4 linked regions of the Schizosaccharomyces pombe genome follow. Changing the gene in region 4 together with the main gene of any one other region gives a genetic interaction. Each region holds a gene or a part of one and is shown on either strand. Other genes may lie near its edges.

Evidence for each region.
Region 1: of pck2 (region 4) and sts5, extra expression of one rescues a mutant of the other (dosage rescue), as found in Schizosaccharomyces pombe (one study listed by BioGRID).
Region 2: of pck2 (region 4) and rga4, changing one suppresses a phenotype caused by changing the other (phenotypic suppression), as found in Schizosaccharomyces pombe (one study listed by BioGRID).
Region 3: mutations in pck2 (region 4) and ags1 impair growth when combined (synthetic growth defect), as found in Schizosaccharomyces pombe (one study listed by BioGRID).

Annotation. Positions count from the first base shown.
Region 1 is NC_003421.2:677,822-684,612, reverse strand, and holds sts5 (Dis3L2-like 3'-5'-exoribonuclease), read right to left. Parts: upstream 4,779-6,791; 5' UTR 4,252-4,778; coding exon 1,051-4,251; 3' UTR 530-1,050; downstream 1-529. UniProt on the Schizosaccharomyces pombe protein: Required for the maintenance of cell shape during interphase. Required for localization of cortical actin to the growing tips before mitosis.
Region 2 is NC_003423.3:1,837,512-1,843,712, forward strand, and holds rga4 (Rho-type GTPase-activating protein Rga4), read left to right. Parts: upstream 1-1,904; 5' UTR 1,905-2,111; coding exon 2,112-2,198; exon of another isoform or gene 2,199-2,335; coding exon 2,336-2,391; exon of another isoform or gene 2,392-2,533; coding exon 2,534-2,883; exon of another isoform or gene 2,884-2,946; coding exon 2,947-5,255; 3' UTR 5,256-5,676; downstream 5,677-6,201. Other genes in the region: SPOM_SPBC28E12.02 (BICC1 family RNA-binding protein), read left to right, coding at 1-807; protein Cbp7, read left to right, coding at 5,950-6,201. UniProt on the Schizosaccharomyces pombe protein: GTPase-activating protein for Rho-type proteins.
Region 3 is NC_003421.2:1,371,412-1,376,125, reverse strand, and holds the start of ags1 (cell wall alpha-1,3-glucan synthase Ags1), read right to left. Parts: upstream 3,030-4,714; 5' UTR 1,955-3,029; coding exon 1-1,954. UniProt on the Schizosaccharomyces pombe protein: Required for alpha-1,3-glucan and alpha-1,4-glucan production which are required for cell wall synthesis.
Region 4 is NC_003423.3:2,308,585-2,314,703, forward strand, and holds pck2 (protein kinase C (PKC)-like Pck2), read right to left. Parts: upstream 4,425-6,119; 5' UTR 4,254-4,424; coding exon 1,203-4,253; 3' UTR 853-1,202; downstream 1-852. Other genes in the region: chaperonin-containing T-complex alpha subunit Cct1, read left to right, coding at 1-852; DNA polymerase zeta Rev7, read left to right, coding at 4,960-4,990, 5,040-5,066, 5,110-5,160, 5,201-5,313, 5,356-5,471, 5,520-5,623, 5,693-5,892; SPOM_SPBC12D12.05C (calcium-binding subfamily carrier protein), read right to left, coding at 6,085-6,119. UniProt on the Schizosaccharomyces pombe protein: Involved in the control of the cell shape. Target of the inhibitor staurosporine.

The sequences.
Region 1 (6,791 bases), on a different chromosome or scaffold from region 4:
TACATTGTTGTTTAACTTGAAACATAAATATTTTTAACTTTTTTTCTATTTTTAAAGAGTATTTCATTTAGTTCTCATAATTTCTAAGACTTTGTGGATTAATAATTTTTTATAATCAGTATAGCATGCGTATACATCAAAATATACTCGATATCGAGTTAATACACTTGGTAAACAAAAGCCGATATAACAAGGCAGCGTTAAAAATGAAAAATAGTAATCACTAAGAATATTTGTAGAATCCTTTTCTTTTTAATATCTTATGCCGTTTTCATATCATAAAATAGGACATGAGTAACTAACACATCCCGGATACGTTTCATAACTATAAATTTGAATATTTTGTGTAAGAAATGAACTTAAATTGCAAAAAATCAACTGAAAATTGCTAAGATGTCGTCCAATAGTAGATTCATTTTAAAAAAAGAAACAAAAAATAAAAGACTCAGCTAACCCCAAACGACCGATAAGAATCCACTTCTGATTGCCTAATCGCCGCAGTGATTGCAAACGCAAACGACACTTCATCTACTGGTAAGCCAACAAAGTGACATGTATCAATATAAAAGCAGGATTTCATTTTTGAAACAAAATCCAATCTAATGTATAAAAAAGGAAAAGTTCAAGGTATCATCAACTCATGCACTCATAAAATCACGTATCGAGACTACTGGATTCCTTCATCCAACTCTATCATCGTGAACTATCGTAATCAAGTTTAATCATCCTTTTAGTTATATAACATAAAAAATCGGCATCTTAGTGTATAAGATTAAACCGAGTTTTCGAGCTCCTTGGCTATGCAAAACTTGTAAATCTCCAGAAACAAATATTAGACGTAAGTAACAGCTTCGTCGAAATTAAAGAGAAAAGTAAGAATGGGAAAAAATGCAGTTTTAGAATCGTAACATATTTTTTATCAACAATGCCTAATAATAAGAGCAATAATATGAATGAGAATATAAAGCCATTCCAGGCATCCGAAAATGAACATGTGTCACCAAAAAACACATACATGAAATAAACATTGCAAACAATCGAAGTTCAACATCAAAACTCGACATTTGAAACGTTGATAAGAGGTGGAGTCGAAAGCTGCACAAAGAGCTTAACTTTGACAGAGGTCAACAATTTAACAACTGTAACGGCTCCGCTCTCGTCGTATAAAGATAAAATGCCCTGGTCCTCTTCAAACCTTACGTGGGTTAGATTGAGCAAATCTAAATGAACACGTTTCTCCATGCCTAGAGATGGGAAAAATACGTCAAAATATGATGGAGCAACAAAACATACGAGACCGTCTTGCCAAACCTGACTCTCCGCCCAGTCACTAAATATTTTTATATGAATGCTAGTTTCTTGCGCAAATTTGCTTATAACCAGACGACGGCTTGCATCGTTTGCCGCTTGCGACCATACACGAAGGCGCTTTTCAGAAGCCAGTTCTCCTCTCAAAAGCAACTGCAGTTGATAATGAACTACAATATCACCATAACGTTCCAAAGGTGCTGTAAAATGTGTCAAATCGTCACTTTCGTCCTCAATACCAAGACTCATCATCTGGGAAGCGAGATTGCCTTTATACTTCTGCATTTCATAAACTGCTCTTGGGGTAACCTTATAATAATAAAGCTGCAAAATGTTACGAACAGTATCGTCTTCGATCAAACTTAAAGAGCGTAAAAGTGATTTTGTCGAAGACAAATCTAAAACACATCCCATCTGAATGGCCATACTTTGTAATATGCGACAGTTTTCTCGAGAGGGCAATCGCTGAGTCCTAAGGAATGCATTTTCACGGAATTCCTGACGCAAGTGGCTTGCAACGGCTCTATTAGCGGCATCCAAAAGAGTTTCACGTAAAACTTCAACCGCCGAGGAAATAAAAAGATTCGTTTCATTGGGATCAAAGCTGCAGCTTTCTTCATCCCATCGACGTACTAACCTACAATACCGGCTGAGTGGCACGTCTGTACCAAGATGATGAGTTCGTAAGCGACTGCTTACGGTATGGAATAAACGAAGTCTAGCATCAGTTTGAAGCAACTCATCAGCTTCCTTCATGGTATATGCCTTGCGAGGACGAATGACAGCCCATCCAATCCAAGTGCCACGAATTTTACCAGTTGAGGAAACATCCAGTAAGAGAGACATTGTATAACAATCCTTATCTTCTCGTAAAGATAAAGCCTCACCTAACGTAGTGGGAAACAAAGGAACCGACTTTTGGCAAAGATTCACCGCAATACTTCTTCGCTGTAATTCGCGATCTAATGGGGATCCTGGCTCAATAACACGAGAAACGTCAGTAACATGGATTCCTACATGATAACCAGTTGAAGTTGGTCGAATATGAAAGGCAGAAGAAACGAAATCAGTAGCAGAACTAGAATTGATGTTTGATTCATGTTGCTTGACTTCTGAAACGGCTGCTTTGCTAACGTCATTTTTAACAAATAAAAAGACATCTTCAGATCGATAATCTGCACAACCAGCAACGTTTAAAAAATTATCCGATAAAGCATTGAGTGCAGTTACGGCGGATGTAGCGGCGGATCCTTCCCATGGTTCACTATGAACACCCGTATCGTGTAATAAAGCGGATACTTGAGCAGACATAGAGTCCATAGATCCTAATTCACCAACCAACATACCAAAAGGATGTAGAGAAGTTACAGGCCAACGCTTTATAGAAGCTAAAAACAATCGTTGAGCATATGCTTGATCGTTACCCAAAAAGTCTGTGGGTGCTTGTTCAGTAGGAATTGCAATCAAAGGCACACGTTTATCAGATGGCTTAAACCATACGATTTTGGGCTTGTCATTTCCCGAGTTATTGGAAGAGCCTTGATTACCCGACGAGGTCTGCCTCTCCTTATTAGCGGCACTACTTGGCCGAAGTATGCCAAGCGTACCAGAAAATACCTGGCCTGGCGCCCTCTGCAAGACTGCTACGACATGACCAGCATACTTTGGCTTTTCGTCCGCACCAAGCTGCTTTTGGTCAAGAAGGAACAGGGTCTGCCCTTCCACTTGTTCATCATCTCTTGCTTTTATAGCAGACCTCTGAGGAACCTCAAACGGTACGGCGTCAATTCGAAGGTTGTCAAAAGAGCCTCTAGTAGAAATTGGGTCTTTACGCCTTCGATTCTCTTCCTTTTCAAGTTTACCAGCCCATACCTCGTCAACGTCTAACAGCTCTATGGCAACGACATCACCCTCAAGGGCACGATTGCGATCTTTCGAACCACATATGAATACTTCCGCATCCAAACCATCGACACTAACAAAAGCGTCTGATCTATTTTTCTTACTTACAATTAAAATACCCGTTACCAAACGACGCTCAGCGAGTAGAGCAGGAATCGATGACTGTGGTAAATAAGGAGAAAAAAGATTTTTACGGGGATTACCTGAACCTCCCGAAGAAAAACCAGAGCCAGAGGAGCCAACACTTAAGCTGCCAGTCGATCGACGATGACGATGACCACCGCCTTCAGGACGAAAGTTTGAGGTATTATGAGTTACAATAGTCCCAGGAAAAGATGGATTCGCGGCATGAGTAGGACTATTCGTTTGAGAAAGTGATGAAGGACGCCATTGAGCATCCAAATTACGAGGGCGCAATAATTGTGGTAAAGTGTTCAAGGCTGGTAAAGGAGATGCGTTGTTGACTGGAGGAACGAACGCATGGGGAGTAAACGGTACGGCGTTATGGGAATTGGGAGAGGAAACAGAAGCAACACTATGGCTTTTTGCATGCCGCCTTGGACTAATGTTCGTAGATGTAGCAACTGATGGATTTAAGCTAAACTTTGAAGGAACGGTCGGACTGTTAGGGAAGGAATCTGAAGAGGCAGAGACCGAAGTGGTGAAGAAATTAGTAGGGTATAAGGGTTGACCGCCTTGAGTCGGTGGTTGCATATTAGAAACGGCTGGAGAATTAGAAGGAATAGTGGCTTGGTTGGAAAAATTGCCCATACCAACGCCAGCACTAGCACTTCGACGATGGCCATGAACAAAGGACGATTCAACGGCGGGTAAAAGACCAGTGTGTCGAAGCTGATGCATGTGCTGCTGTAACGGTAGCCATGTGGGGCGATTAGCAGAGGGAGTGGTTTGTAACCAAGGAGTGGTGAGGGAAGGGTTTGCAGAAGGAACAAATGTAGGACTCGATTGCGCATCAGAAGGATCCTGTTGCTGATTAAGCATCACCTTGTAAGGAAAGTCATTTTCAAACTCCTCATCCATGACACGAAAAGGGTAGTGAGAAAAGAAGTATTAAAAGTTAAAGGAGCAGTGGGTTAACAAAAAATAAAGAATATAAAAAGAAACAATGAGATCGAACGAAAAAAGAAGTCGCTAGCAAAGAAAGACTGGCTAAGGCGAAACGAGGCACAAGATTCGTAATCCAAATTAAATACGTAGACCCCAACTGATAAAAACGGTTGCCTTTAAAGATATCAGGAAACGATCCAAAAGATAAGTAGAAGGAAACCCCAAAAAAAAAGAAGAAAGAAAGAAGTAAACGGGAAAACGAATGTTTACGGATAAAAAAAGCGTCTTATTAAGGAAGGTTGTGGTTCGAGAAGTGAACGAAAAACCAACAAAATTAAGAAAAGGAAAAAAAAGAAGACTGGTCCGTCAGAAGCGAAAGAGTTAGGCGGCAAATGAAAATCGCCGCGAAACAGTCAGCCCCAAAAGGAATTTTAATTCCTCAAATGTCAAAATCGCAAGGAATGAGGAAGTATGAAAGTGATCAGTGGTAGATCCTCGTTAATTAAGGAAAAAAAAAGGCCTGCTTATAAAAATCCCGATTCTACCGTAATGAATGATAAGAACGTAATTCTCACTTAACAAACAAAGTTAGTTGGTAATATCTAATACTTGAATTCCGAGGCGATCCGCAAGCTGGCAAACTGATATATACGGAGCGCTATTCGTTGTATCGGTAAAAAGAGGTAGGCTAAGAATGCACAGGGAGAGGGAGCTTAGCTAGCTAGAGTAGAACAGGCGAAAACCACCAGTTTCGCCAAGGAAGTGAGTTGCGAAAGAAATGAACAAAGAAAATGAGTGTCAAAATGGTAGACAAAAAATGGTTTGTTAGGTAAAGCGTAACTCCTAAATATCGTGAGGAATGGCCTCAGCAAGTGTGAAAAAGGAACAAACAAAGACAAAAGAGGGTATCAAAGAGAATATCGACTTGAACGATGAAATCTTAAGCTGAATAAATAGATTTATAAAATTTCGGTATAAAGCTAAGGCCGATTGAACAGTCAATTATCACAAGAAACGAAAGAATAGACCATTCGCGTTGAAAACGATGACTTGCGGACGATGGAAGTAAACTGACGTGTTCAGTATATAGGAAAAATTCATTAGCGTAGTGCGTTCGAAGACGTTATACAATCGATGATAAGAGTGTATGAAGAATTGATTAAACAAGAAGTTTGGAGGGAATGAGAAAGTAAGATGGAAAACGAAAAATTTGGCAAAACAAAATTAGTAGTGAATTACTGTTTATTAATAAAATTCGTTTTTGACAGGCAATTATGTGTTTCTCTTTGCTTTGAAAGTTGGTTTTTACCCACAAGAAGATTCTTACATCGGATATAAGAAGAAAGAAGTAGCGAAAGGTGGCGATCCAAGAACAGTAGCGCTCTTGAGCAAATTGGTTTGAACTACTGATTCTTTTGATTTTATAAATTATCGTTAATCGACCGGGCAAGCTTACTTCAACCATAAATCGTGGACAAAGTAACAACTGACATAAAAATGATGAGCATACGAAAATAGACGAAACGAGCAAAAGGCGAAAATAAGTAAACATGGAGCAACAAAGTAAATTTGGAAAGAATGAATTTCTTCAAACTACTCAATGAATAGCAATCGCCCTAGAAACATGAGTAATTGTTTGAATTAGTGGACGACTCAGACACGCATGGTAGGAAGACTGTTTACTCTATATAAGGATATTGGCAGCAACACATAAACCGCTACAACGATAGATACCGAAGACATTAAACTATTTTTACGTATATTTGTGCATTTTAATGAAGACATTAAAATTCGTTAACGACGTGCGCTGAATTTTTCGATTTGAAGAGGAAAGCATCAAAAGACTTAACAAAGTATTGAAAGAATGAAGCTCTTCAATAATATATTAGAGGCTATTTAAAAAATTTGAAGAACCTTGGTAATAAAAATCGGTGCAGCTTCATAATTATATCGTCGTCCCTACCGATGTCAATCATAATTAATTGCTTTCTTCGTAGGATAGAAATGTAAACTGTAGAACGTAAAACTTAAGAGGAAGGGAATTAGAAACATTTATTATATATATTCCTAACAACCCTTAAAGTGTACGAGTTTGTCAAAGAGCATGATGGGACTTTGACTTTTTTTACCTACCTATACTGCCCCAAAAGGACTCATGGCAGAAATAGGCTTCAAATAAAGTACAATAGTGATTACTAGCACAAATCCTTATTTTTTATTACTGGAATTTGCCGATTTATTATATGAAGATAGCGCGATTGTACGTTGATAAAGAAACGAATGGAATAAGGCACATCACACCAAAATCTTATGTGACAAAAATCTATCACAATACATCATTATACAAACACTACAGTAACGAAATTTTATATTATGAGTACCTGTGAATTTCTCTATTTTATTTATCGATACAACAGAGCAACTCGTTTTTCTTGTAAAAAGTAAATAAATTCAATTTAGTAAACGATTTACGAACTTCTTCTAAGTTACGACATATTGCATGGAAGAACGTG
Region 2 (6,201 bases), 470 kb from region 4:
GAAGACTTTCTGAGAGTTGCTGGTTCTTGGAGAAGAGCGTCTACAATTGAAAAAGGAGTTTCAAGCTCTGAATTGTCCTCTATTGTATCCTCGACTGGCTCCATAGTGGAAACAAATGGAATAGGAGAAAAAATGTCATTCTCTCCTCTTAAGAAGCTAAGTATTCCACCAACAGAATTTGTAGCTCAAATTGCAATAATTTGCATGGCTTCTGGAGTCGAAATGCTCCTAAAAACCAATGGGATTGAATATTTCGGACAAGAAAACACCGTGCCTATAGCAATGGATAAAGCAAGCAAAATATTTTATAAATTTGGACAATCCCAATGGCACCAGATACTGCTTGAAGCCCCAACCAAGGATCAAGATTTCATATCCGGTAAAAAAAATGGAAAACTGGATAAGGTAAAGCAGCAATGCCGTTTCAACTTAAAGAATGGGGACATCTTGTTTTGTCCCCAGTCGACGAGTATATTCACGGTTGATATATATAGTGACGAATTGGAAAGAGTAATTAAAGGAATGAACACAATGTTGCTTGAATTTCCAGCTGAGATGCACTTTTACGTTCCAGAGGAGATTCACAAAAAACTCATTGGATTTCGAGGAGAGCAAATCCAACGTGTAACTAAACTTTATAATAGTTACATTGAATTCTCAACTACTCCTTTTGACTGTTACGGGCACAACGTGCTCATTCGCACACCATCAAAGTTCTCCGAAAATTTGTGGGCCGTCCGATCTTTATTCATTAAGACAGCTGAAGGATTAGGATACGACATCCCGAAGTATTTGTTTGCTAATTGAATTTTAAGTCAGAATCCAGTCATCGACCTGCCCATAGATCACCACACTTTCTCGTTATATTTTTTATGTCCATAACAGACACTCAAGCTGGTTATTAAATTCGGAAACTAAATTTTTTGAAAATCAAAAGTGCTCCACTGTATCAACTTTGATACACATCTTAAGTGCACAATATAATTTAATGAACGTGATCCACGCAGAATTTTGAAGCACATGACAAGTTTAAACTTTAAGCAGTTCAACGATTTGTGCAGGACGGCAACCACTGTTCGTATGCCTTTTTTATTTCTTATTTTGTTAATAAATTGTCATTGAAAACAAAAGATAAAACGTCGATAAACACAGCTAGATTGATATAATAACAACAAACATCTTTTCAGTAAAAAGAAGTAGAAACTGGCACTAACCGTTATTAATCAACTTGCTATACGCTGTGACATCTAACACTCTTTGACCAGTTAATTAGAATCGTATTTGATGAGAAAACGATATTGAGTTAATCCATCCACTTTCTTTGGAATGCATGATGATTAAATTAGTAAATTAAAGAAACAAAAAGGGATTACACAAGAGTTGTTAAACATAAAGACGTCGTTCGACTATAAAAAAAGACGTGTGAACCGTAATGCACCCTTTGCGGTTATTGGGTTTCTTCGGTTTTTTTTATACAAATTATATTACGCTTAACTGAACGAACTAATCAAGTAGCACAGAAACAAGCCACTCTTATTTTTTCTCAAGAGTCGAGCAATACTTCGTTCTCGCTGACAGGATTGCTAATAACACTAACGAAAGATGAACAGGGGGAATGTTGTATAGTTCATTTTTAGTCGTACAATAAATCTCGATAAATTTGTATAAGCAATATCATTTTAAATGTTTCAAAATCTCAAAATAATATGAAGGAAGCAACCATCACTTACACAAAGTATGAAACATAAGGAAACGATATAGAAAGAATCTGGAAAATAAGCAAATATTAATAATAGCTAGATCGAAACCTGGTGGTTTATTCGCTGCAAAGCCATAGCGGTAACAAAAGGAACAAATGCCAGTGTAGCCTTCTATATAAACAAAGGTCCTATTCTTTGACCTCCACCACAAACGGCTACGAGTTTAAAAGAGCTAGCAAATGTTGTAAAGCCTTGGTATTTTTATTTATTTTTTAATCAAGAACAAACTTTGAATAAAACCGTAAAGAGTTTTCTATCTTAGCTGCCGCTCATTTTTTGAGCTGGTGTAATTTACCTATCCATTCTCTTGGGAAACACCTTTCTTTTAATTTTCAGAATATTGATTTCCTTATGAATTCGGGTACGACACTTCATCTGGACAGACTTAGTTTGGAGACGCCATCCGAACGTACTTGTTTTTGTATTAAATGTTGGGAAGTATGTGAGGTTCAAAATTTAATCGCCGTGTCCGGAGAGCGGTCTTTTCACAAAACGAGACCCTGTCTTGAAATTGGACACTGCTCTTTTATTTTTTCCCAGCTGTAATGAACGGCATTTACTAACTTTTGCTCTAGAGTGTTCCCAGTACCTCTCAAGTTTGGTTCGGTGGGAAATGTTGGCATTCCGATTGGTATGATTGAAAATGCAAACGTTGGGATTTTTGGATCTTTTTTTTTTCTTATAGATTGAATAAAAAAATATAAAATGCTCCAAAGATTACCCTTGTTTGTGCTTCTTGTTGTTTTGATTTACTAATTAAGACGGTTTGCTAGTTTTAAATGTGTGAACTGCAACAAAAAATTAGACCCTTCCTCTGAAGATTTTTCTCAAGACGATCAAAAGCAAATATTCTGTAAATTATGTGTTGATATCTGCAACGGTTGCTCAACTCCTATTTGCGAGTTCAACGCAGTAAGCAATAGTCAAGCTAATCATCCTTGTTGCTCCAATTGTCGAGCTTTCATTAATTCAAATGCTTTTGGCAAGTTCAAAGGTCAACATTACTGCCTTCCTTGTTTGCGTAAACAAGATGAAGAGAATCAAAAGGCTGTTATGGAAAGCGCATCAGGGTTTATTCCTCTTAGGAATATCGCACAAACTGCGGAAAACACTTCTTTAACTGGTAAGTTTGTTGCTTATGTAGTATTTATTGATATTGTCTTTATGTTTCTAACTTTAATTTTAGGGCAAAACCAAGGCTTTCAAAACCCGCATTTTATAGCGTCTGATTCTCCATCCTCCGTATTATCTGGTCGAATGCAAAATACCAGCTCTCCTACAAACTCTCTCCGTCCTCAATTAAAAGTTCAAACTAATGGTTATGAAACACCTGGTGATATAAACTCCGCAAAATCTTACAAAGACATCCAAAAGGACTTCTTACTTAAACCCAAAAATTCTTTCGTTAAAACCTCTCCCTCTCCACTAGCTAATGGTCCCTCATTTCGTTCAGCTAATGCCTCTCCATTTGATTCGTGTGACTCTTTTCATTCTGGAAGTTCGATACCAATTGAACCAGTTTCTTCAAGGCAAAGCTCAGTAGTAAATAATAATAGCGTGCAGCAACCTGTTGCTTATCACGCCTTTGTTCAATCACCAACCGAAAATGGTACGCTTCCTCAACTTCCTAAAAATGAAAGCGTTGTTAATCCTCCTCCACTTCGCCGCTCTTCTACTATGAATTACAAATCTGTTTCGACAACAACATCACCATCTAAATATGGATATGTGTCTGGCAGAATAGCTCTATCTCCTATCCATTTAAGGGGTGCTCTTCGTGATGTCACAAATAAATGTAATTTAAAGGTTCCTAGAAATCGAAACAGTTTATCTAATCTTGACGAATATTACGTTAACGGATTGGAAAGCGACGAAACTCCTACAAAGGCTAGATTTCCTAGATATCCTACGGTATTTAATAAGTTAGATGACAAACGACTTAGTAGCGAACCAAACGGCTTGAAGAAAAGATTGACGAACTCTTCAAATTATGAGGCTTCCCCGCGGGCCAAAAGTTTAAATTTGTCGCAAGTTAGTTTGCATCAAGCATGTGAACCTGAATACAATCGAAGTTCTTTGGTTAGAGCAAGTGATGTGTTTACTTCAAACGTATTTGATGCTACAGAGGAAAGCGCAAATGAACTCGCCATTCGTATTTCAGAGCTTCAAGCTGAGGTTGGAACCTTATTGTTGGAAGCGACTTCGTTGGCTTCTATCATAGAGCAGCAGACTCCCGTGTCCCCCGAAGCTTTCAAGCAAGAGTTGGTTGCAGATTTAAATTATAGATTAGATTATTTACGGAAATCTTTTCAACCTGAACTGTCTACCTTACTTTTGAGGCGAGACGCTTTGTCTACGACTGTCTCTAAATTGCAAAACGCTTACAGCACTGTAATGGAAGAAACCGCATATCTGAATGTTAAGAACACAGAACTGGTAAGCCTTAACAATCAATTGGAGAGAGAATTGGCATACTTGAGGGAGCAGCAGCATAAGAAGCGAACTTCTTCCTCTTTCGGAATATTTAATAATGATAAAAAATCCAACCGAACGATTTCAACCCCGTCTCCGCGAGAATCGTTTTCGCGTCTACAAATGGTTGCATCTAGCCTTGGATTTAGACCCAAAGACAATAAAGACAAGGAGAGTGGAGGGTATAACAAACGGAACTCTAAAATAGATCTTAAGAAGTCATTTTCTAAACGGTTTCATTGGAAAAGAGATTCTCCTCACATGTCGAGTACTCCCAGTATTTCTGAAGAACATTTAGCTTCTGAAGAACAAGAGGATTTCGTTCCAGCGGTCGGTCACTGCAAACTTTGCGGTAAATACTCCAATGAGCTTAGAGCACATTATCAGGATTGCGTTAGTTCTACTATAGATCGTCAGTATCAATCTAAAAAAAGCGAATCTCCTGTTTGGGCTTTGAATCCTGACGACTTCGATCAAAACAGGCTAACACTCTTGAGAGTCCCGACGCTTATCGTTTCTTGTATAAATTTTATCGAGTCATACGGCATGGATTTTGAAGGTCTGTATCGCAAATCAGGGGCAACTTCTCAAATGAAAAAAATTGTTGCGTTACTAAGAAATGAAGATACGGTACTTGATCCAAGTGAGGATATTTCTGCTGTCACTTCTGTATTCAAGCAATATCTTCGCAACCTTCCTAATCCAATTATTACCTATGACCAATACTTTCCGTTCATCACAGCAGCAAATTGTGCCTCTTTCCAAGATAAATTAGACGGTTTTATAATGGTCATCAAAAGTCTTCCTCCAGCTCATGCTGAAATTTTGCAGCTCATTATTAGACATTTAGCAAGGGTTGCTGCATATAGTCATGCAAATCGAATGACATCCAAGAACCTTGCAGTAGTATTTTCCCCAACATTAATACGCGACCCCGATAATTCCAGAGACGTTATTGACATGACTGTTAAGAATTACAGTCTTGCGTTTTTGATAGATCATGTACATGAAGTCTTTGCCTAAATTCACACTATCCTTTAATAATTCGCTCTTTTGTTTTGCACGTTCCTTTATATTCTTTATTCGTCTTTTTTTGTTGTTTTAGTAGTTGTACCATAACTTTGGGCAGTTATATCGAGATTCCTTTTTGCATTTGCTAAGATAGTTTCATTTTTGGTCATTTTTAGATGTCATCGTGAAATCAGTGGCAGATGAGTGTTTTATGGATTTGGCGTATAGCTTCTTCATAATGCATTATCACTGCAGACTGACATCCATCGCTTTTATTTAATCATTTCCCTGTTTTAGTCTACTTGGCATTACTCACAATGCTAGGCTATGAATAAAATGCAATTGCATGTATAAAAAAGGAGAAATTTGTATTTTTTTTTAATTTTATTATGCTTTCAAGGATTTAAAGAAGCATTTTTTCCCAAGATCCCTAACTTAGGAAATGCTAGTGCAACGTATTGTGAGTAAGTGATTTTGTAGATATATCATGCCCATTATCTTAATGGAATTCTAAAAAACCAAAAGCAATTCCTATAAACAAAAATTATATACGTTATATGGTAAATTTTTTGAAGGGGGTTAAATAGAGTTTCGAACGTCTAACAAAAAACCAACTCCTGTTTTACTACCACTTTTTTTTGAGAAAAGAGGGTCTTTAAGCAGGATATTTTATTATCTATGTGAACAAAATTACGGAATTTTACTAATGGCAGATGTTATTAAACGATGCATTTTGGGCCCGACTGAAGCCGGCTGGTTCGTCGCAAAGTCTCAAATAAAAAAACCAGTTGACCAAAGACCGGTTATCCTAACCCATTGTAAGCTGCACAGCAAAATGCTAGAGCCAAAGGCGATTGTTTATAAAAAAAATTCATCTGCAATTCCTAAACGAGTTGACAACATTCTTCTTCGAAGTCAAAAGCCCAAACATATAGAATGCCTACTTGTGGACTCTAAA
Region 3 (4,714 bases), on a different chromosome or scaffold from region 4:
GAGTATCGTTACGATTCGCGTAAAGAACCCAAACTTCGGATTTCGAGACATTAGAGGCATTCGTAATTGAATCAAAGTCCTGAATTTCTTTCATGGGGCCTCTCAAAACACTATACAATCCCATAGGGGACGCATAAGGCTGACTGTCAGGAAAATAAACATCATCTGTCCAATTGGCTATATGATCAAATCGCCATCCTTCGCTCAAACTAAGATAATGTCTTCGGATGCTATGAATGTTCCTATAAACATTACGATGAGCAGAAGCAATATCAAAGTGATCCAGATAATTCCAGGAATCCTGACAACCTCTTTGTGCAGGTGACAGATCCACGGTTGGATAAGATGTAGCAGAACCATTGTAACAGCCGTGAATATACCAGGCCCTGGCGGAGTTCATGGCTTGACGTCCGTAAAGATAATTATTTGCAGAGTTATCCAACACATACATACCTTGTTCGTCGCCATAATACAGAAGCGGAATACCTGGAAACAGCAAAGACGTAATCATTGTACCAAGGATCAAACGAGCAGTACCATTTTCAATAGCTCCCCATCTGAACACATCGTGATTAGCAACGCCATACATATGTAGAGGTTCTACTGTTCCTGTGTTTATATTGACAGCATCTTCGTTAATTTGAATACCGTTCCAAGCTGTGGTAAGTACTGAGGAAACATCAAAATCAATTTCCATCTTTGAGTCCATACCCAGAAAACGTAATAGAGCACGATAAATAGAGTAATGGAAAGCTGAACCGTCAAATCCATAATGATCTGAATCTCTCAATGAGTACTGCGATTCATCAGATGTATAATTAAAAGCTGCAGTTACATTAGGGGGCCGCTGATCAGGTTGACGGCCACGATTGTAGTATATAGAACCATAGCTAGATGAGCCAGTAACTTCACCAACGATCAAAAAGTTCTTCTTATTGTATTTCGCCGCGCATTCACGCACATACATCGACCAATCCACAATAAAATCAGCAGTCATCTGGGTAGCCTTATCAATACGGAATCCATCGACATCAAGCATAGAAATCACCAAACAAGAAAGATGCATTAATTTTTCTGCAACATCAGGTTTCCAATCACGAAGACGATCTTGGACGGATGCGAATTTTGACAATTGACGCTGCCAATCCGGATGGGAACCGAAAGCTTCAGTATCACCGTAATGATCATAGTCTGAAACATAACAACCTTTAAATTGAATAGAAACAGGACCACCATCTTCACCCCAAAACCTTGGGTATTCACATGAAGTATTATAAACGTTAGTGAAGTTAAAATCCACATATCTATATTCAGAAGTTTTCCACATGGCATTATACTCATTTAAGTTAAAATCAACACCAGATGTATCATTAAGATGGCCAACCATACCGATTAAATCACCAAGAGTGGCAACCGTCAAATCAACAACCAAATACATGCCCCTTTCGTGCATTGCAGTAATAGTTGAACGCCATTGATCGATAGTTCCTAAATGGTGATCAAGAATAGTGTAATCCAAAGGAGAATATTGATCAGCTCCCCAGGGCATATTGACAAATGGAGTACCAGCAATATAAATACCTTGTGTACCTAAACCTTCAAGATAATCCAATGATAACTCGAGCCCAACGATATCACCGCCATTACGAAAACTGACTTCCGAAATATCATATTCAAATGGAGTTTTTTCAATATCATTATTGGATGGATCACCATCATACCAACGATCCAAAATTACAGTAATAAAACTCATTCGCCAGTTATCAGGGCTTGGAAAGAAATCATGATCTGCCCATTCACCAGAATACTCCAAAACACTGGAAGCGTTTTTGTTTTGATTTAAATTCCAAGGCTCTTCATCCTCGGAATATGGAGCAGCAAATACGGAATGAAAAAGAAGAAGTGCTAAAGCAATAACAGCTCTTCTAAAACATAACCCTTGAAGACCATGCATAAGAAAGACTCAATAAATGTGACTAGCTGTACGTACGGCAAAAAGATAAAAAAATAAAATGAGGATGTAAACGAGAGAATCGTATAGGGTGTTTAAGTAATTAAAATATAAGAAAAATAAACAAAAAACCCGAGGAAAAGGAAAGATCGTAAAAAAAGGTTTTTTGAAAATATGCAAAACGGAATGATCTGAAGGAAATTTTTTGATCAATACTACGGAAAAATCAACAGCTATTAACTTTCTCAATTATTCACAGGGATAGCGTTAAAGAGGAATCAAAACCTGCTATTGAGACAAAAAAGAAAGAGAAGATAGATAGCAGAAAGCAAATAAAGGGGGAAATGCAAGCGAAATGATAAAAGAAAGGATCGACAAAACGTTAGAAGGAGGAGATGAGATACGGATATTAATAAATCACTTATGAACAGTGCCAGTTAATGAAAGCGTAACACTAGAAAAGGGGAATCCCCCGATAAAAAAGGAAATAGCAAATAAGGAAAAAGGAAATATATAGATTCCGTTTTAAATGTTTACTTATTTGATAATCCCTACCTCAAAAAGAGATGCCTAAAGGAAAGATGAAGCGGAACAGGGTATACGGATGAAAAAAAAAAGGCCAAGAAACACACAAGTCTAGAAGAACAATACCACCTGTATATATCCAACCCTTTTAAAGAAAAGAATGAAATGAAACTTGGAAAATATTTTATATCGAATAAAAGGAGGAAGTCGGGTCTAATCTACTTTACAACAAGCAAGCTTATCGACAATCCACCAACGTTAATAAATGAAGAAAAAGAGTTTTTGATGGAAAAACAAACAAAAAGAAATAAGAGAAAATCCAAAAAGAGGAACAAAAAATAAAAAAGAAATTAACGAAGGAGGTTGAGAAGAAAGAAAAAGAGAATGCAACGTAAAAGCTGAACTTTATACAAACCGTTAAAGAAAAAAGGCTCTATTGCAAACACGGGAATGGTTTCCAAGAACGGCAAGAGTATGTAAAAGTAAATTACTGTCACAACACTCTCTGATACAGCCGTTTTCTCCTTTCTAGTCGTTTGTGTAGCTGTTTGGTAGAGGAAGAGGTTGAAAACAAATGGAGCAGTTAGAACTCGGCAAAGCTTTGCTTGTGCAATAAAAATATTGGCTTTGTAATAAAAAAACTAAGCCAAAACATCCATTGTGAGTTGCCTCGGAAACGATCGGTGTCTATGAAGACATGATTAGGCTTAGTATATTATAACGATGTCCGAAAATATCGTTGGTTACAGATAACGATAACGGAGTGTGCTGCAGCGGCCGGGTGTAAACAAATAAACAAATATAAATAAGCTAGTAAATAAAAGGAAAACGTGTAAAGGATGCTTATTAATTTTTTGATACTTTTCTAATTATTACTATGAAGTTTTTTTTGTTCTTGTTTATTTTTAACATTTACGTCTACAAATTATCTGATCTATCATCGATGTTACCGTGCAAGCAACTCGAGAACCTGATGTTCAAAGAAAACTAGAAATTAAGGTATTTAAAATAAAACTAGGCACAAATTTCTCTCAGATTCACTTTTTTTAAAAATCTAGCGGTTTATGTATACGGGAGTATTTAGCTTCGAATGTATATCGGAGTGGTACTCAGTAGATACATTTGGCAGCGATAAGTTAATTCTTTAAACTTTTTTTCATTCTCCTAATATCAAATAATATTTTTATTTTTTATTTTTTTTCTTTCTTTTTCTTATTTGTTTATGAACAAAGTTTCCTTTAAATGCGATACTGGCGAGAAATGTTGCTTTTTATGAACAAGTGTATGATTCATTCAATCATTGATCCTTCGTGCCATACATTTTTTATTGACATATCTGGCAGTTCAATAGAAATAAATGTTTCTAGCGTTCTTGGATATTCTGCCTTTTGATTGCTTCCTTCGTCAAATCCAATTCAAATTTATTTAAGTTGGTGCACTACATATTTACAAGTTGGATGTAACCAGCATTCACAACATCGTTGGTGCGTGCAAATCTAAAATCGATTTAACTTTTAACAATTGAGAACTCTATATTCTGTCAAAGATAGCTAGTCCCTTGTCCCTGTCTGTTTTTTGACTAAATTTAAGCATCCATCATAACATGCTTAAACGGACGTTCCAAATAATTTTTCCAAGCGTTTTACCAATTTCATGAGAGGCAACTTAACATCATTGTGATCTCGGCAGTTTGCGATTTCTCTTAATAACGATATGAAGGGGATTTTATGAAAATTTTCTTCCTACCACTGAAAACTATCGGATTTTCGTCACAGTCTTAGCCCCCGGATTTTTGCACCTGTGGGGCTTGCCAATTTGTATGCTTTTGTATGGCTAAATGTAGAATAGCGTATTGTCCAAATCTGCTAAATGAATTAGTGATGCACGGAAGGAATCGTTTTACAAAGATTTATGAGATTTTTAGGAAATTCGAGGTAAGAAGTGTAAAGCGGTAAAAATCGCTGGGAAATGTAAAAGAAATTGCTTGTGTATGAATACTTGATGCCTTCTACCTTCTTTTAGCCCACTCGGTTTATCTACATATGCAAAGTGTGCCTTCTTGGGGAACAGTATTTTTTATAACGGTACAACGATGCATCAATTTTAAAACGCCGAATACGAATTGTATGTAAATAGAAGAAAAAGAAAAGTCCGAAAAACATCATATGTTTGAAGTATGCTATTGCTGTGCCGATAAAATGAAGTAGTTTGATTGCCCGTGATTAATAGAGATGAATT
Region 4 (6,119 bases):
ATGATTACGCTGGAACGCGTCAAAAAAATTCTCAATGCGGGTGCCAATGTTATTCTTACCACAAAGGGCATTGATGATCTCTGTTTGAAATCCATTATTGAAGCTGGCGCAATGGCTGTTCGTAGATGCAAAAAGGAAGATTTGAGACGTATCGCCAAGGCTTCCGGTGCTACCTTACTCAGTTCATTGTCAAATTTAGAGGGTGAAGAAACCTTTGAAAGTTCCTACTTGGGCTCGGCTGAAGAGGTTGTTCAAGAAAAATTTTCGGATGATGAATGTATTCTTGTCAAAGGAACCAAAGCTTATTCGTCTGCATCAATTGTTCTGCGAGGCCCCAATGAATACTCTTTAGATGAAATGGAGCGTTCAATGCATGATTCTTTAAGCGTCGTCAAACGCACTCTTGAGAGCGGCAAAGTCGTTCCTGGTGGCGGCGCTGTGGAAACAGCTCTGAGCATTTACTTGGAAAATTTTGCTACCTCTTTGGGCTCTCGTGAGCAACTTGCAATTGCTGAGTTTGCACAAGCTTTGTTAATTATTCCCAGAACTTTGGCCGTCAATGCCGCCAAAGACTCTACTGAACTGACAGCTAAGTTGCGTGCTTATCACGCAGCCAGTCAAAATGCTGAGGTTACAGATGTTAAGAAACGGGGATACAAAAATTATGGTCTTGATTTACTTAATGGCGTAATTCGTGATAATGTTAAGGCTGGTGTTCTTGAGCCATCCATGTCTAAGTTGAAAAGTTTGAAGAGCGCCGTTGAGGCATGCATTGCTATTTTACGTATCGATACTAGTATCAAACTTGATCCCGAAAGACAACCAGAAGACCCACATGCAGGGTTGCACTAAAGCAATTACTTAAGCATAGGTATATTTGGCGGGTTTCATTGAATGTATCCAAAAATTTTGCTCCATAGATACAAATGCGATGGATATTAACATATATTAGCACTATAGCTGTTGACCAATAAACGGTAAATTATTAAACTCAGTAAATTACTACTTTGCTAGTGCTTTCATAAACAAAAGTCTAATGCCACTGTATGGATTATTAATGTGCATGCTTATAATATCATAGATACAACCCAGGTAGTAAAGAAATCCAAAAATGTTTAGTTTAAAAAGTCGAAATTAGAATAATTTATCAATGCAATGAAAGATTAAGAAAATGAGAGTAACTTTATGCTCAATTTAAGGTGCTAAGCATTATCGGTAGTCGAGGGTTTATCATCCTCGCATGAATAAGAAAAACCTTCAAAATGTTGCTGCATCTCTTTCGTCAGAATAGAATTAACAGGAGTAAGAACTGGGAGTTCTCGGGTAAATTCCTCATCGAAATACTTGGTGTCCGTAGGTGAATTCAAACTTGGAATGTACGGTGGTTGAGTTCGCTTATGATAGATGTCATCCCAATTAATGTTACTAAAAAATGGATGAGTCATGACATCTTCTGCATCGTTAGGGCCAGATCCAAGTCGTTTTTTAGGATCGCGAGTCAAAAGTTGTTGTAATATAGAAACGGAATCCCTTGGCATATGAATAGGATACAAAGGTTCATCAGATAAAATTGCATCAAAAATTTCTTCTTCGTCTTCTCCTCTAAATGGAGATTGACCAAGCAGCATTTGGTAAATTAGTACACCAAAAGCCCACCAGTCAACGCTTCTCGTATATTGCTGTTCTAATAAGATTTCCGGTGCCATAAATTCAGGAGTACCGCAAAACGTGGCAGTAGTGTTATCATGCCACATGTCTTCCTTACACAAACCATAATCGGCCACTTTAACATGACCATCTGGGCTTAAAAGGATATTATCAAGCTTAAGATCACGGTATATGATACCGTTATCATGAAAGTATTTTAGAGCAAGACACACCTCAGCAGCATAAAACTGTGCCCTTCTACGTGAAAATTGTTCCTGTTGAATGTGAAGCATCAAATCACCACCACTCACAAAATCCATGACAAAGTAAATACGGGTTTCGGTTTGAAAGCAAGAATGCAGGTTTACCAAAAATGGATGACGCTCTCGGTTGGCAACGAGAAAAACGCGTTTTTCGGATTTAGTGCTTTCGACTTCATCGTTTTCTAAGATGAATTCCTTTTTCAAAACTTTAATAGCATACAATTGCTTTTCACTTTTAAGCTCAGCCAGCATTACTTTACCGAAATTTCCTTTGCCTAGCACAGATAAGAAAGTAAAGTCTTCAAGTCCGATACGCTTAGCTTTATGCGTTAGGTCTTGAGCAACAACAGAGGTTTCAACTGATGGTACTGGGATTGGCTCTTTCACAGCATCTAGGGAAGGAGGTTTCGTCAACGCATCAGCTTTGTCATCCACTTTCTGCTCGACAACCTGAACTGTAGCGCCAAGTTTATTATCAGAGACTGATGTCACTTCTAAATTACCGGCATGTACAGGCTTTCTTTTAACCGGTTCAATTGCCAGTGGTTTTGGAGAAGTTGGAACAGGGTCTGCAGGAGTGATAGATGGTGTTGTGGTGGTTGTAATAGAAACGGATGCTTTGTCATTTTCCTTATGTTTCGAAGATGAAGACTTAGACTTTTTATGATGATGATGCTTGTGATGTGAACTTTTCTGTTTATGTTGTTGAGCTTTATAAATTTTAGTTGTACGAATCTCAGAAATAACCCGGTTAGCCATCTCCATAGACATACCACAGAAATCCGGAACAAGATGAACACACTGAGCGTGCGCAGTTATTCCACACTCCGTACATTTCCTGGCAGTTTTTCTTCCTAAAGGAAGGATGTAGCCACAGTGACAGCACCAATTAGCACCTATGTTTGTGTGAGATTCAAAATGATGAGGAATTCTATGGTTGATTTTCTCGTATTCGCTAGAAGCAGAATCGCTAGACTTTGAAATGCATTTAGTAACTACCTTTGGATAGCATTTTTTATGACAGGTGTAATGACAATCAATGCACTGCATACCAGCAGCATTCTTCAAAAACTCTCCACATAAAGCACAACGCATAATTTGATAAAATTGATGTTGTAGAAATTTGTGACCATAAACTTCGTGTACGCTTTCCTTGCGTTGACGGATAGCACCTTGACGACCGAGGCCAGCATCCATAGGTCTCTTCCTTGTATTATGCTTTGTGAAATTCATGGTCAAATTAATTTGTCCCATGGGTTCAAGAGAAAACCAAGCACTCACACTTTGATTACCGCTAGCTGTGTTGGGGCGGTCAGTACTTTCAGGCTTTGAAATATTATTAAGAGCAGAAGGTAAAAATATTGAAAGTCTTTGATTAATCATTTTGTCGGCACTAACCCAACCTTTATCTGAAACCTCTTGTTCAACCTTTTTTCGCCTTTGTTTTTCTACTAAATCCGATAACCGTATCCAAAGTAAACCAACAGGTAATAGCAATTTTTCATTTTTCTTTTCGTAAACAACTATTTCGACCTCATTAGTCTTCTCCAGATCAATTTCAAAAGTTTCATTAAAACGGTCGGTGCGGCTTGGACGAGTACGTGCACGCTCAAGATCCTCTGCACGAATTGCAACTATCATTTCCGTTTGCTTGGAGATTCCAGCAGAATGCGTGACGTTCCTTAGAGATCCTACGGTAATTTTAAGGAGACCAGACTGGGGACGACGGGCATTTAAGTTACCTCTACTTTCCGTACTGGGAACATCTTCCTCATCGATTTCGATATGCAAGTCATGGTATCGCTTCAAAGCTTGCTTGAGTAAGGTAATCTTTTGAGCACTTTCTACATACTTCTTCTCTGCTTCAGCTATACTACGACGGTCATGTTCACGCTCATAGAGCTTTGCCATCTTTTCAATACCTTTTCGATATTGTTCCTCAACAGATAATTTGAACTCCAATTGTTGTAATAAGAATGATATCTTTGAAATAGTAAGAGGGGTATCATAATTTAGCAAATCCAAGTTAGAATCGATATTAGAAGAAGTAGAGGAAAAGCTTTTAGCGGATTTTGTAGTGCTAAAGGATGGATTCTTCTCAATGCCAACGGACGGTTTCTCAGAATTACTCTTTCGGACACCATTTTTGCGAAGCTTTAGTTTTTCTAAGCGTTCTTCTAAATAAATAATGCTCTTTTTTGATTCTTCAATATTGCTATGAAGTTGTTGGTGAACTGTCTGATTCTGAGTCAAGCGCTTCATGGAAAGGGCGCCATGAATAACTGATCTTTCTCTTTCAATTTTCCTAACAACTTCTGTTATAGCCTCATCAATCATATCCATTACTTTAAATGGCCTAATCCTGATTTTTCCGCTTAACTTCTTATCTGCAATTTTTCGCTTCCGTTTTTAATATTAATGTGATTATAAGATTTCATTAAGACTTTTAAGCTCGATAAAATGCTAGTAAACACCCGCTTTAGTCCTTTCGATGTTTTCGTACGTTTAGTAGTTGGAAGGCGGTAGCTATGAAGTAAGACTGGCAAGCTCGCAGGGATTTCGCAAGCAATTCAAAGAATCCCACCACTCCATTCCTTTTTCAAAATTTATTGAAATATATGGGCAAATTTTTCAGCGACCCCTGTTATAATTTCGAAGGATTTTGGCACGTTAATCTTGAAAATAACGATTTTACAGAACTTTACCCCATAAATATTTTTGTCACATGTCCAATTTTATTTGATTGATGCTAAAATTGTAATAACGCAAAATAAAAAAATATTGACCAATTAATAGAACAGTTCATTATCCAGCTATCTTATTTGTCTTTTGTTAGTTTTACGGAATCCCGTCAATAATCGCGGGTACGTTATTGTAATCCATGTAATTACTATGTTTGCTGATATTCTTTTAGTTTGCATATCTTTGGTTTAATAACTTTATAATTTATTTATTTTCTCGCTTCATTCAGAAAAGATAGAATTCTCGAATTTGAACGAACATATTAAGAAATTTTTGAATATAGTAATCATCGTATCGTTCATGTCTGATGGAAAACGACACAGGATGGTCTGTGAAAAGTATGTTATTAGTATGATTATTTGGGTCTTTTGCTTGCTAAACTATTAGAATGTATTGATATATTTGGAGAATTTTGTATGTGTGCAACTTTGAACTTCCATTTTTGCTTACAATTCAGTGCTTGTAAGCATTCATTGTATTCTTTACGCTAGAAGACTCTATCCTCAAGGTATTCGATTTTTTAGCTTTTGATTTAACTCTCATATTAGACCTTTTTATAAAAGCTCGAAAATACAATACAATTGTCTGGCAATCAAGGCATCCGATCTTGTGCGAATATATTGAAGAAGTAGTGCAATCTTGTATCGAGGAGCTTCAGACGGTATTCTTAGTCATCCAATTCTTTTTCTAACTGCTCGTCTAGGGATCAGTACATCAAGTTGCACTCTCTATTATTAACAAAGAGCAGCGAGAAGAGGAACGATATGTCTTTTCAACGGATTCTATCCCGATTATTCCTGATTTCTTACTTGAGAAACAGTATGACTATCATTAGCTTGGCATAGGCATCTTTTAACAATATTGTAGAATTTCAACAAATGAGCCATTCACAGATGCTTACGTTGAATACATGAGAGCTTCGCTCATCCAATTACTCAATATAACAAATGGACTTCCTCTTATTGAACAAGGTATAAACAGTATTATTTTCTAAAAAAATATTCTATTACTAAATTCAATTCTAATAATACTGAAATTAGAATGCACTTGGACGCTTCGGGTAACGCTAAAAGATGGTTTTCCCAGACCAAAACAATGGGAAGAGTGGTTTCTTCCGCCGCAAGCGAGAGAAACAGACGCAACAAGGCAATTTAAGGGCATCACCATTCCTGTTCGAAATGTGGATATTGGACCAATGATGACGGAAATTTGGGTCGAGAAATATACAAATTCGGATTAGAGGTATCTCTAATTTTCTTTTCAGAATGTAGTGCAAGAAAAATGGGTATCTGCTATGAAATAAGAGGGGATTAGGTAAAGTAAATAAAGAATCAGTTTTGCGATAAAGGATTATCATTATCAATGAAAGAATTATTAATTTTGAAGTAAAGGTCCCTACCAATAAGAATTATAAATAGTTAGAAAATGTGCCTTACTCTAGGCCCAACCATTTTTTGCAATTCTCAT